3 linked regions of the Cricetulus griseus genome follow. The protein of the gene in region 2 purifies or fractionates together with the protein of the main gene of each other region. This does not show direct contact. Links are inferred from orthologs where the notes say so. Each region holds a gene or a part of one and is shown on either strand. Other genes may lie near its edges. The genes, in order: Nelfa, Nelfe and Nelfcd.

What was found.
Region 1: the proteins of Nelfe (region 2) and Nelfa purify together in Homo sapiens (affinity purification with mass spectrometry; 9 studies listed by BioGRID and IntAct, counting the BioPlex papers as one, with this or other methods). This does not show direct contact. The link is inferred for Cricetulus griseus from reciprocal best matches to the Homo sapiens genes NELFE and NELFA.
Region 3: the proteins of Nelfe (region 2) and Nelfcd purify together in Homo sapiens (affinity purification with mass spectrometry; 9 studies listed by BioGRID and IntAct, counting the BioPlex papers as one, with this or other methods). This does not show direct contact. The link is inferred for Cricetulus griseus from reciprocal best matches to the Homo sapiens genes NELFE and NELFCD.

Annotation. Positions count from the first base shown.
Region 1 is NW_023276807.1:102,927,647-102,930,913, forward strand, and holds the end of Nelfa (negative elongation factor A), read right to left. Parts: intron 2,879-3,267; coding exon 2,767-2,878; intron 1,972-2,766; coding exon 1,700-1,971; intron 1,547-1,699; coding exon 1,447-1,546; intron 1,349-1,446; coding exon 1,164-1,348; 3' UTR 586-1,163; downstream 1-585. UniProt on the Homo sapiens protein: Essential component of the NELF complex, a complex that negatively regulates the elongation of transcription by RNA polymerase II.
Region 2 is NW_023276806.1:231,395,904-231,399,563, reverse strand, and holds the end of Nelfe (negative elongation factor E), read right to left. Parts: intron 3,185-3,660; coding exon 3,110-3,184; intron 3,006-3,109; coding exon 2,968-3,005; intron 2,823-2,967; coding exon 2,467-2,822; intron 2,376-2,466; coding exon 2,231-2,375; intron 2,147-2,230; coding exon 2,092-2,146; intron 1,952-2,091; coding exon 1,849-1,951; intron 932-1,848; coding exon 861-931; 3' UTR 612-860; downstream 1-611. Other genes in the region: Cfb (complement factor B), read left to right, coding at 1-80, 155-204, 414-569. UniProt on the Homo sapiens protein: Essential component of the NELF complex, a complex that negatively regulates the elongation of transcription by RNA polymerase II.
Region 3 is NC_048599.1:4,650,402-4,654,047, reverse strand, and holds part of Nelfcd (negative elongation factor C/D), read left to right. Parts: coding exon 1-139; intron 140-314; coding exon 315-445; intron 446-909; coding exon 910-1,075; intron 1,076-1,502; coding exon 1,503-1,637; intron 1,638-2,002; coding exon 2,003-2,142; intron 2,143-2,696; coding exon 2,697-2,811; intron 2,812-3,122; coding exon 3,123-3,218; intron 3,219-3,301; coding exon 3,302-3,442; intron 3,443-3,646. UniProt on the Homo sapiens protein: Essential component of the NELF complex, a complex that negatively regulates the elongation of transcription by RNA polymerase II.

The sequences.
Region 1 (3,267 bases), on a different chromosome or scaffold from region 2:
TCCTGTTGAGATGTGAAATGACCTATCACAAATTAAATTTAAGTTTAAATGTGCCTATTGGTGTCTAAACTTCATACAATATAGTCAGGTTCCTTTTAGGAATGCTGGGTACTGTCACCAGATCTGATAGTGAAGGCTTAAAAACTTGAAGTTTGCGGGGGAGGGGGGAAGTAATACCGAAATATAGACAAGAATTACCAGTTGGGGGAAAAATAGCATTTAAGTGGAAAGTTGTGTTTGGAAAACTGTATTGAGTATTTTTTTATTAAAAAACTTTAAAGGCCTTTTTCTTACACTTATTTTATATGGAACTATGTTTGACTTCTCCAACTTCCTGGGTGCTATGAATTTAAGACAGCAGGCATCGGCCCATTTCCCAATGCTGCGGCCTTGACATTCCCTGTTGTTGCCCTGTGACTGTGACCTCACACCCCAAGGTTGCCCTGCCCATTGCCTACTTATTTTCAGGTAGACTCTTTATCTCCCAGCTCTGCTTCTTCTCCCCTGGGGTTCTGACAGGTGTACAGGGAGGGGGTTTGGTCCCAGAACAGGGAGCCAAGCTAGCTTGAAACATAGCTCTGTGGGCTTTCTTTAGAAAAACTAAACTTTAATACTCATATCATTTTACAATGAAAATAGTTACCCAGAGACAGGCTTGAAATGTTTACAACTGTACAAAAGACATAGAAATCCCTGGCAGTCAGTAACCGTGAGGCTGGTCATAGCCCCCCTCACGCCCTAGCCTGCCAGGTGTCACCTTTGGTCCCCTCAGCCTCAGGAGGGAAGGCATGCACAAGCAGAGAACCTCCTCTCAGCCAGTGCAGTTTTTTTAAAGAAAAAAAGAGAAGGTAATAGTCTTATCAGGCACTAAAATGAAGTTGTAACTTTTTTGGTTTAGCATTCAAAATGTAATATTGAACCCCCCAAAAAAGGTAACTTAATCACACAAAAACTAACCCATTATAATAATTATATGTATATATAAAAAATAAGCCTAAACTCCCCAGAGAAATGATCTAAAACTTAAAAACAGCCTGGGGCCCAGTAGCCTGTGAATGACAGGTGCTGGGTGGAGCACATCCTTCGGTATCTGCTCAGGTCACTTAGCATAGCCAGCAGTACTTGTCTTCTGGCCTGATGAGGGTCAGCAGCGGAGATGGCCCTTAGGACACATTTGTCATGGGCTTGTACTTCTTGAATCGTGTCCACTGGCCCGTGGCGTAGTTCATCTCGAACACTGTGTCTACTAGCATGGTGGTGCTGCCCTGGCCGTCTGCCTTGGGCAGATCCTCTGTGTGCTCGCTGAGCTTGATCTGGATCACATCCCCCTGTTCCGGGCATGGGTTCTCTGTAGGAAGCAGGGGCTGCTGGGCAGGTGCCTGGGGCCAAGGAACCCATCCCCCACCCCACGGGGGGCACCTCCCAGGCCTAGTAGCACAGACACACCTCGAGAACCAGCCATGAAGCCCAGGATGAGGGCCTTCTCTGGCCGAGTGACCTTGTTTGCCGTCTTGAACATCTCCTGGGCAGCAAACATCTGTTCTCTCTGTAAAGAGAGGACGTGAGTGTGGGAGCTGCCCAGGCCACCTTGCCTCCTCCACCCACTGGCCCTGCCAGGTTCGTCCCATAACACCCCAGCTACTAACAGGCAAAGCTATGTCATCCACCTAATGGCCATGAAACCTGCCAGGGTACTTACTGTGAGGGACAGGTTCTTCTTAGGTTGCTGCTGAACAGGGGCAGGTGCCTGGGTCTGCGGGGCCACCATGGCCACTGGGGGTGTCTGAGCAGTAGGAGTGGCAGCTGGAGGAGTAGTAGGTGTCAGAGGCGAGGTAGGTGCTGCAGGTGTTGGTGTAGCTGGGCTCAGGCCACTGTTATACATAGGTGCCCTTTGTTTAAACTGAGCTGGCAGTGTAGGACTTGGGGCACTGGGCTCCTCAGGTGGTCGGCTGGCTTCCCGGGAAGGAGGGGCTGCAAGCAAAGCACGGTTACTAAGGAGGGTTGTCCAGGAAGAGAAGTACATCCCTAATCTACTCATCCCAGACTCGTCTCCAGGCTGCCTGTACTAACACCATTTTCTGGAGAGGCAATAGGCTCTTCCAGGTTCTGGCAGCAACTGTGACCCATACCCAATTGCTGTCTTCTATCACTGCTGACCAGAAGCCCTTACTGGCCTTCACAGGCAGGGACGTGAGCCCTGTGCACTACTACCCAGCAGGGCAGAACCTATGTCCTCAGGCATTCCTAGATCCACAGATTAAGTTATCCAGGACTCTGGTTAGCTCCTGGCCTATGGTAAATTCCCCATAACCTGGGTGCTGGTGGGAAGTAGCTTCCACAAACCTCAGCAGGGCTGACCCTCGACCCACTAACAATAGACAAAGCTGAGCCCAAAGGAACCAACCACCCAAGCAACTGACTAATCCAAGCTTACATCTGACCCTGAAGGAATCATCCTTCTGTAGTATCCTTCATTTGGGAAGAGACAATCCTCAGATCCTTACCCACCCAGAGAACAGGGTACCAATCTTGGCAGCCACTTGTTCACTAAAATCAAGGACTTCTGGCTTATTTCTAGGCCAGGAGGAGTTCCCTCCATGCTGCCTGGGATCAAGAGACACTGAGACAGGTGTCTCAATGCTGAGAAGCACCATGTGAGCAAGGCTACTTCCTAGGTGCACATACTAAGCTCAGTTTCGGTAACCCCAGGGCAAGTCCTTCTATGGGCTGAGGGAATACTGGCTTAGCATACTGCAGGCTACTTACCTGGGGGGTTCTCAGAACTGGGGATGTAAGATGAGGCAGGTACCACACTGGGGGTAGAGGGCAGGTAACTTGTAGAGGGAAGTGCTGGCTCACTATTCAAAGACCCAAGTTTCTGGAAGACAAGGGCCATGATCTCTTCAGGCAAAGGTCAGGTTTCAGTATACCTCCCTGGGGTATCCTAGACAGCCTCCATCAGCCCCTGCCCATCAATGAAGCAAGATGGCAGGTACTCATATCCCCAGGACAGGGACAGTGGCTTCTCCAGGCCACTGGCTTTAGTGATACTGGACTCCAAATTTAGGCCATGGCCACCACCCCAATTGTCCCAAATTGACACCTGAGGAAAGAAGTTGAGTAATGGAAAGAGCTCAGAGACATGACCATACCATGCCACAGGGCCACACTCTGCCTCTATACATGTGTCCTCTGCACCTACGGCCCTTAAAGCCCATCTCTATTTCTACAGACAGCCTCTGGGGAAGAGCTGCTCTGGCTGGCTCA
Region 2 (3,660 bases):
GGATGTGTCTGAGGTGGTCACCCCCAGGTTCCTCTGCACTGGCGGGGTGGACCCCTATGCTGACCCCAATACTTGCAAAGGTGAGGTGGCTCTCTGGCTATGGTGAAGCCCACAGGGCCCAGCCGTCTTTCCCTACAGCTTCTCTCTTCCACAGGAGATTCTGGGGGTCCTCTCATTGTTCACAAGAGGAGCCGCTTTATTCAAGTGAGTCTGTGGGGGAGACGCCCAGGGGCCACATATACCACAAAAAGGAACGCTTGATGCACGTGGCTGACTATAAGCCAAGCATCTGGCCTATGTGCACCAAGGAAGACAGTGCGAGCTGGGCCCCTGGTGTACTGTTTTGGGTCAGCTTGGCTGCTTTATGGGATTATGAAGTGTCAAGTGACCCATGGCACCCTTCACCTGCACAGGTCGGTGTCATCAGCTGGGGCGTAGTGGATGTCTGTAAAGGGCAGAGGCGGCAACAGATGGTACCTGCTCATGCCCGGGACTTCCATGTCAACCTTTTCCAGGTGCTCCCCTGGCTCAAGGAGAAACTCAAAGATGAGGATTTGGGTTTCCTATGAGGGGCTTCCGGCTGGGAGGGGCGAGGGTCAAATTAAAACAGCTGCGATAAGGACTGTATTCTTCATCTTTTGGGGGTAAGGGGTCAGGGGGTGTGCACTGGTCATGTTGCTACAAGTAACATCAACACTGACAGCCACTTTTGAAGGTTTAACCCCGATCCCAAGTGTTGAAAGACTAGAGGCTGAAGGGGGTGAGGGAACTTCTGCCCCAGGATTTTACTGAGACCAGCTTGGGGGCATACGAGGCACAAGGAATCCAGCTTCGTGTCCTAAAAGCCATCCACAGGTTTCCTACAGATCGTCACTGTACACAATCTGGGTCCTTTTGTCCCGGTGGCAGCCCTTAGGGCTGTTCTGGACAGCTGAGGAGGGAGGAAAGGGACAATTAAGATGTCAAGCAGCTCACAGGTTAGACCTGAGGTCTGAGTCTGATTATCTCCGCCCTGGCCTTGGCCTACCAGTGCTTATGCTGCCCCCTGGTGGCCAGAGTCTCACTATGGCTTAGAGAACGCAGAACCTTGTTACTGTGCGTGAGACATGTGAATGATGAAATCATGAAATACATGAAATTAAAGATGAGAACATCTCTGTGGCCCTTGCCGGTATCCTGGTCGATTCTGGTTCCTTCCTGGTGTCTGCAGGGCCTCTTGCTCTGAAAATCTGTTTCAGGCAGAGTGGGCTGTCCACACTGAGGAACCCCACACACGTCTTCTGTGGAACCCTCAGATCCCAAGTGCTCAGCTGCTCTTTCCTTACACTCCTCAGCCAAAGGTTCCATCCTACACCTGTGGTGCCAGAGGCAGCACCCCCCCCCCCAACTCTGGTCCTGTACTCTGCCTCTGCTGACTGCCCCTCCTCCTCAGAGCCTGGGTCCATGGCCCAGGGCTTCTGGGGCTGCTCTCGGGGGATGCCTCATGGCTCCTTCAATGAAGCTGCCACTTCCTCCTGGCAGGCCAGGATTGCTGGAGACAGAGCCCAGCCAGCTTCTTAACGTACTTGATCCCCCAAACCAGTCCTGGGTCACCCTTTTCTCTACAATTCCCATTTCTTGATGGTTCCAGACTCACAATTTCAAGTTCTGACACCACCCCAGCTCAGAGGGGGCAACATGGTTCTTGCTCTACTCCCCATGCCAGTCACTCCCCTCCCCTCCCCTTCCCTCCCCTTCGACAGACAGCCTGGCAATTCTCTATCAGCTGCCTAGCGCAAACCTTCACCCTTAGCACTCTAGGGAGTAGTGTGCTGTAGAGAGGAGATGAGGGAAGAATCCCATCCTTACCAAGGGAACCCCAGACAGATTTGCCAGTAGCAGCATCCAGCATGGGCTGTTTGCGGGCTATGTTGACTTTGAGCTGCACGGATTCCACCTGGGTCCCATTGAGCTGTGGGATACAATGGGAGGACAGAGGTGGGCATTACAGGGAGCCAGGGGACCAGACAGGGCTCTGAGGACAGAGTTTTTCTCAGTCGGGAGAAGAGGTGGACAGGAGGGACAGGAGGGAGGGGTCTGAGAAGTCCCAACCTCAGCAACGGCCTGATCTGCAGACTCCATCTTTTCATAGGTGACGAAGGCACAGCTGAGGTGAGAAAAAGCGGGATCAGTAGTGGTCCATGGCCCTAGTGTCCCCACACAGCTCCCTCCCCAGGAGGCTCGTCCTTACTTTCTGGGTGGGTCCATGGAGAGGTCAATGATGTTTCCAAAGGGAGAGAAGGCCCCTCGGAGGAGGGTGGGCGTCATGTCCTCTCCATACACATAAAGTGTGTTCCCCTTCCGAGGGGCCCTCCTTTCGGGGAATGAGTCTGACCCTGTGGGTCAGGAATTACAGTCATTCACTACTGAGTCCCAGTCACCCCCCTCTTTAGCAGGGCCCACCTAACCCTGGCCAAAAGCACGCACTGCGGAAAGGGCCCTCGCGCTCTCGGTCCCGTTCGCGGTCTCTGTCTCGATCCCGGTCTTTATCTTTGTCCCGGTCTCTGTCTTTGTCTCTGTCCCGGTCTCTGTCTTTATCTCTGTCACGGTCTCTGTCTCTATCCCGGTCTTTGTCTCGGTCTTTGTCCCGGTCCCTATCTCGGCTCCTCTCATGACTTCGGTCGCGGCTGCGGCTTCGGGGAGGGGACGCTGAGGAGCGGGCACCACCATGTTCTTCGTAGCTCCAGTCAAAACCTCGGGGTGGGCCATCACCAGCCCCGGGGCCCTCTGATTCTTCTCCATCTGGTCCCAGTTCCCGCAACCGATCGCTAGAAGACACAAAGCTGGGGAGAGGCAGACAGTAAGGACAAGGGGGCTCCATCTTCTTACAGACACACTCCGCCTGCAGCCTGCTCCTTCCACTCCAGCCCTGAACCTTCCAATGACTCTGGCCACTGACCCCACAGCAAACTGTGGCTTCTCTCTAACCTTTCATATAGAGATTTCCTTTGGGGACGTCTGGATGACTGAGGGGGGGAAAAAGAAGATAAAGAACAATTAATATGATTCCCAGGTGCTCGAACGGGATCCAAAATCTGTGGGTCTTTTGTCTTCAACCCCGGCCATTTACCTCCTGCAGGTCCTCATCAGCAGATACGCTCCTCTGGAACGGCTGGAAAGTGGGGGCAGGCCCCTTCTCAGGGTCCTGGGAAGGGATAGACACCCATGTTAGTGTGGACCAGCAGAGTTCCTCTTCCCTCTCTTCTTGGCTTCTCTTGATGATGCTGGTCTTTTTTTTTTTCCCCTTGGTTTTTTCTTTGGTTTTTGCCTATGTCTCCTGAGAGCTGGGGTTAAAGGCGTGCGCCACCAACGCCCAGCGATGATGCTTGTCTTTTTGTTTGTTTTCGAGTCAGGGTTTCTCTGTGTAGCTTTGGAGTCTATCCTGGCACTTGCTCTGTAGATAGGCTGGTCTTGAACTCACAGAGATCTGCCTGTCTCTGCCTCCCGAGTGCCGAGATTAAAGGCGTGCTGCCACCACCTGGCTTGCTATGCTATTTTAAAATAAGGGTTTGGTTTACTCAACCCTCAATCCCACCCTAGCAGCACCAATGTGGAAAACAGAAACGTAGGAGCCACCTAGGTTTCCTGAGTAACAGATAAGAAACCTAATGCTCCAACAGC
Region 3 (3,646 bases), on a different chromosome or scaffold from region 2:
GGGGTACCAAGGGGAGATCACCAGCGTGTCCACAGCCTGCCAGCAGTTGGAAGTGTTCTCCAGAGTGCTCCGGACCTCTCTAGCCACCATCTTGGATGGAGGAGAGGAAAACCTCGAGAAAAATCTTCCTGAGTTTGCAGTAAGCCCCTCTGAGTCTCAGGTGGAAGGGGGTTGCCTGAGGTCGGGCTTTGGGAGTGTCCCGTCCCCCTCCCCCCTCCCCGTAAAGCACCTCCAGGTCAGAGAACCCTGGCCAGAACCCCTTTTGTCTGCATTTAGCCCTGTGACCTGAACTTTGTCTCCCTGCAACCTTGTAGAAGATGGTGTGCCATGGGGAGCACACATACCTGTTTGCACAGGCCATGATGTCCGTGCTGGCCCAGGAGGAGCAGGGTGGCTCTGCAGTGCGCAGGGTCGCTCAGGAAGTCCAGCGCTTCGCCCAGGAGAAGTAAGAGATGCTTTCACTTGCCCTGCTCTTCTTTATCCTCAGAAAAGCTGTGGTCCTAGTCCACGGCTGGGCCTAGTAGAGGGCTGTGCTGTTGGCTCTTTGCTAAGAACGTGGTACGTGCTGTGGGCACTTGTGCTCGCTTGTGCTAGGAGACATTGAACAGCAGAAAAGCCCTGGCCTGGTCTCCAGTGCCCTGCTTCTTCATGGAGTCCGAGGTGCTCATTTTCTGCTGCCAAGTCTTCCCTAATGAGGTGTGCAGGGTGTGAGAATCCCTCCTGGAGGTTACAGCTACATCAGAGTCTTTCGCAGCTCATTGTAGCTGTTGTTCCCAGGGGTCAGTTAGTCAAAAGAGTAAATGACAGAACTGTGGGAAATCACAGGGGTCCCCACCAGCTCAGCAGTGAATGTTTAAAAGTGAAAGAAAAAAGAAAGCTGTTAGTGATGGTGTGTGACTTTCCAACCAGAGGCCATGACGCCAGTCAGATCACGCTGGCCTTGGGCACAGCTGCCTCCTACCCCCGGGCCTGCCAAGCTCTCGGCGCCATGCTGTCCAGGGGAGCACTGAACCCTGCAGACATCACAGTCTTGTTCAAGATGTTCACCAGCATGGACCCTCCTCCTGTGGAGCTCGTAAGCTGCCTATGCTTCGTGAGGCCAGGTGCCCCACGCCAGGTGTCAGGGTGGCTCGGGGAGGCCTCCAGGTCCCCTCATTCTCTTCAGGCCATGCCTGCTGGTCCCTGTGGAAATAGTTTTCATCATTAGAGTCAAGCTGGTCTCAAACTGGGCTGGCCCTCCTGCCCTGGCTTCGCTGGGTGCTAGGGGATACAGGCACAGCTACACCTGGCATAAGCCCTCCTCCTAACTTGGCTGGCACTACTAGAATTGAAGCCAGTACCTGTCACATTCTAGGCAAATGTTTCACCACAGAGGTACGCCCTGTGCTCTTGAGCTCTCCATTTCCACCCTTTCCTTCAGCCTTCACCCTGTCAGAGCCCTACAGGTGGGTGAGCCAGGGCCTCCCTCCTTCCAGCCCACTCCCGAGTATGCCTCTCCTTAGATCCGGGTACCTGCCTTCCTGGATCTGTTCATGCAGTCACTGTTCAAGCCAGGAGCCAAGATCAACCAGGACCACAAGCACAAATACATCCACATCCTGGCTTACGCCGCTAGCGTGGTGGAGACCTGGAAGAAGGTACTGTCGGCGCTAAGAACCTGTGGCCTCCTCGGCTCTGGTACTGTGTGGGGATTTGGCTGCAAGAACCTCAAGCCCGTGTAGCAGTGAAAATGCCTTTACCATTGTGTACAAGATCCCGAAAGAGCTCAGTGCCTGCAGGGTTTTGTGACATCCTTTACACTAGGACTGGGTAGTGGGATCCAGTTGAGTTTCTTGAGCCTCCCACACAGCAGCCTGTGACTCCTGGTTTCTGTGGGCTGTGTGACTGTGCAGTTTGACAGTTGAATTGACTTTTGACTCTGCAGATAGGGAAGGGGCCATCCCGGGGTACCCCACAGCAAGGCCACACTCCCATCATCACTCACCAGCTTGTATGGTTTCAGAACAAGCGGGTTAGCATTGGCAAAGATGAGCTGAAGTCCACGTCGAAGGCTGTAGAAACTGTCCACAATTTGTGTTGCAATGAGAACAAAGGGGCCTCCGAGCTGGTAGCCGAGCTGAGTACACTCTATCAGTGCATTAGGTGAGTGTGTCCCCCGTCTCCATCCGGTCCCTGGGGTGCCAGTCCTCCTGTCCCCATGGTTGGAGGGTGCACTCTGATGTGGAGCCAGCAAGAGCTCAGGTTTCTCATTCTTAGCACACATGGAGAAGTTAGCTGCGGCAGCATGAGTGTTTTTAGGTGCTCTTTGGCCAGGAATCTGTTCAGCAGACCCCCACAGAGCAGAGAAAGGACATCCAGAATTAGAAAATTGATTTAAAGAAAGTAGTAAAGCTACTAAGCCAAGACTCTGAAATAAGGGGGAGTGTGAGCCCAGGCTTTTGTACTGGTGATCATTTCCTTTTCGGTTCTGGAGGGTCTGAAGGAGCTGAGGATCAAATCCCTTCTGAAGGAGTTGGTCTCATCAAACCACTTCCGCCGTGAGCCACTCCTGCAGGCCAGAGTGAAGGGAGTGTCACTGGGGGTTCCCCAGACTTTGTCTGTCCTTGCTTCCCAACCCTTTATTGTTCCTTGGTGTATTTCAGCCTCCTTTCCCCTGTTCTTGGTCAAAGGAAGCCTCGTACCTTATCTTTCTGTAGGTTCCCGGTAGTGGCGATGGGTGTCCTGAAGTGGGTAGATTGGACGGTGTCAGAACCGAGATACTTCCAGCTACAGACTGACCACACACCAGTTCACCTGGCCTTGCTGGATGAGGTAAGGGGACGGAAGGGCCACTTGTGAGGTATACGGCGGTCTGTGTCTTGGATCTTTGCCCTGAGGTAAGGTTAGGAGACACTCTCTTCAGAGCTGGTGGTTTGTGTCCGGTGGGAGGCTCTCCTTTCAAGAACCCTGTAGATGTGTCTATCAGGTGTTACCAGAAGGGAGGCCTAGAACCTGATGAGTGCTGTCCCCGTCAGTGGTGAGCCACCTTGGTTGGCTGGACAATCCCGTGCATTCCCTGTGTACTGCTAGTGAGCCCAGAGAACCAGTAGGTGCCTCAGTGCCACCTCCTTGGCTGCCCACAGATCAGCACCTGCCACCAGCTCCTGCATCCCCAGGTTCTGCAGCTGCTTGTTAAGCTTTTTGAGACTGAACACTCCCAGCTGGACGTAATGGAGCAGGTGAGCTGCACCCCGGGGCTTGTTGGGGCTTGGGAAAGCCTCTGCCAGCTCTGACCTGCTCCCCTGGCCCTGCTCTTCCACAGCTCGAGTTGAAAAAGACCCTGCTGGACAGGATGGTCCACCTGCTGAGCCGTGGCTATGTGCTTCCTGTGGTCAGTTATATCCGCAAGTGCCTGGAGAAGCTGGACACCGACATCTCACTCATTCGCTACTTCGTCACTGAGGTCAGTAGCACCAGGGCTTCAGGGCTCACTCAGTTCAGTAGCCCAGCCCTTCAGGCTTCATGTCATCTCTGCGGTTCCCAACTCTGAGAGCCATGCTCTCGGTAATCATGGTGACACTGGTGGTTTATTAAATACACATCCCCTGTGGGTCCTCTGGGGGTGTCTCCAGGGAAACCTCAGGAAGGGTGGGACCATCTCACACAG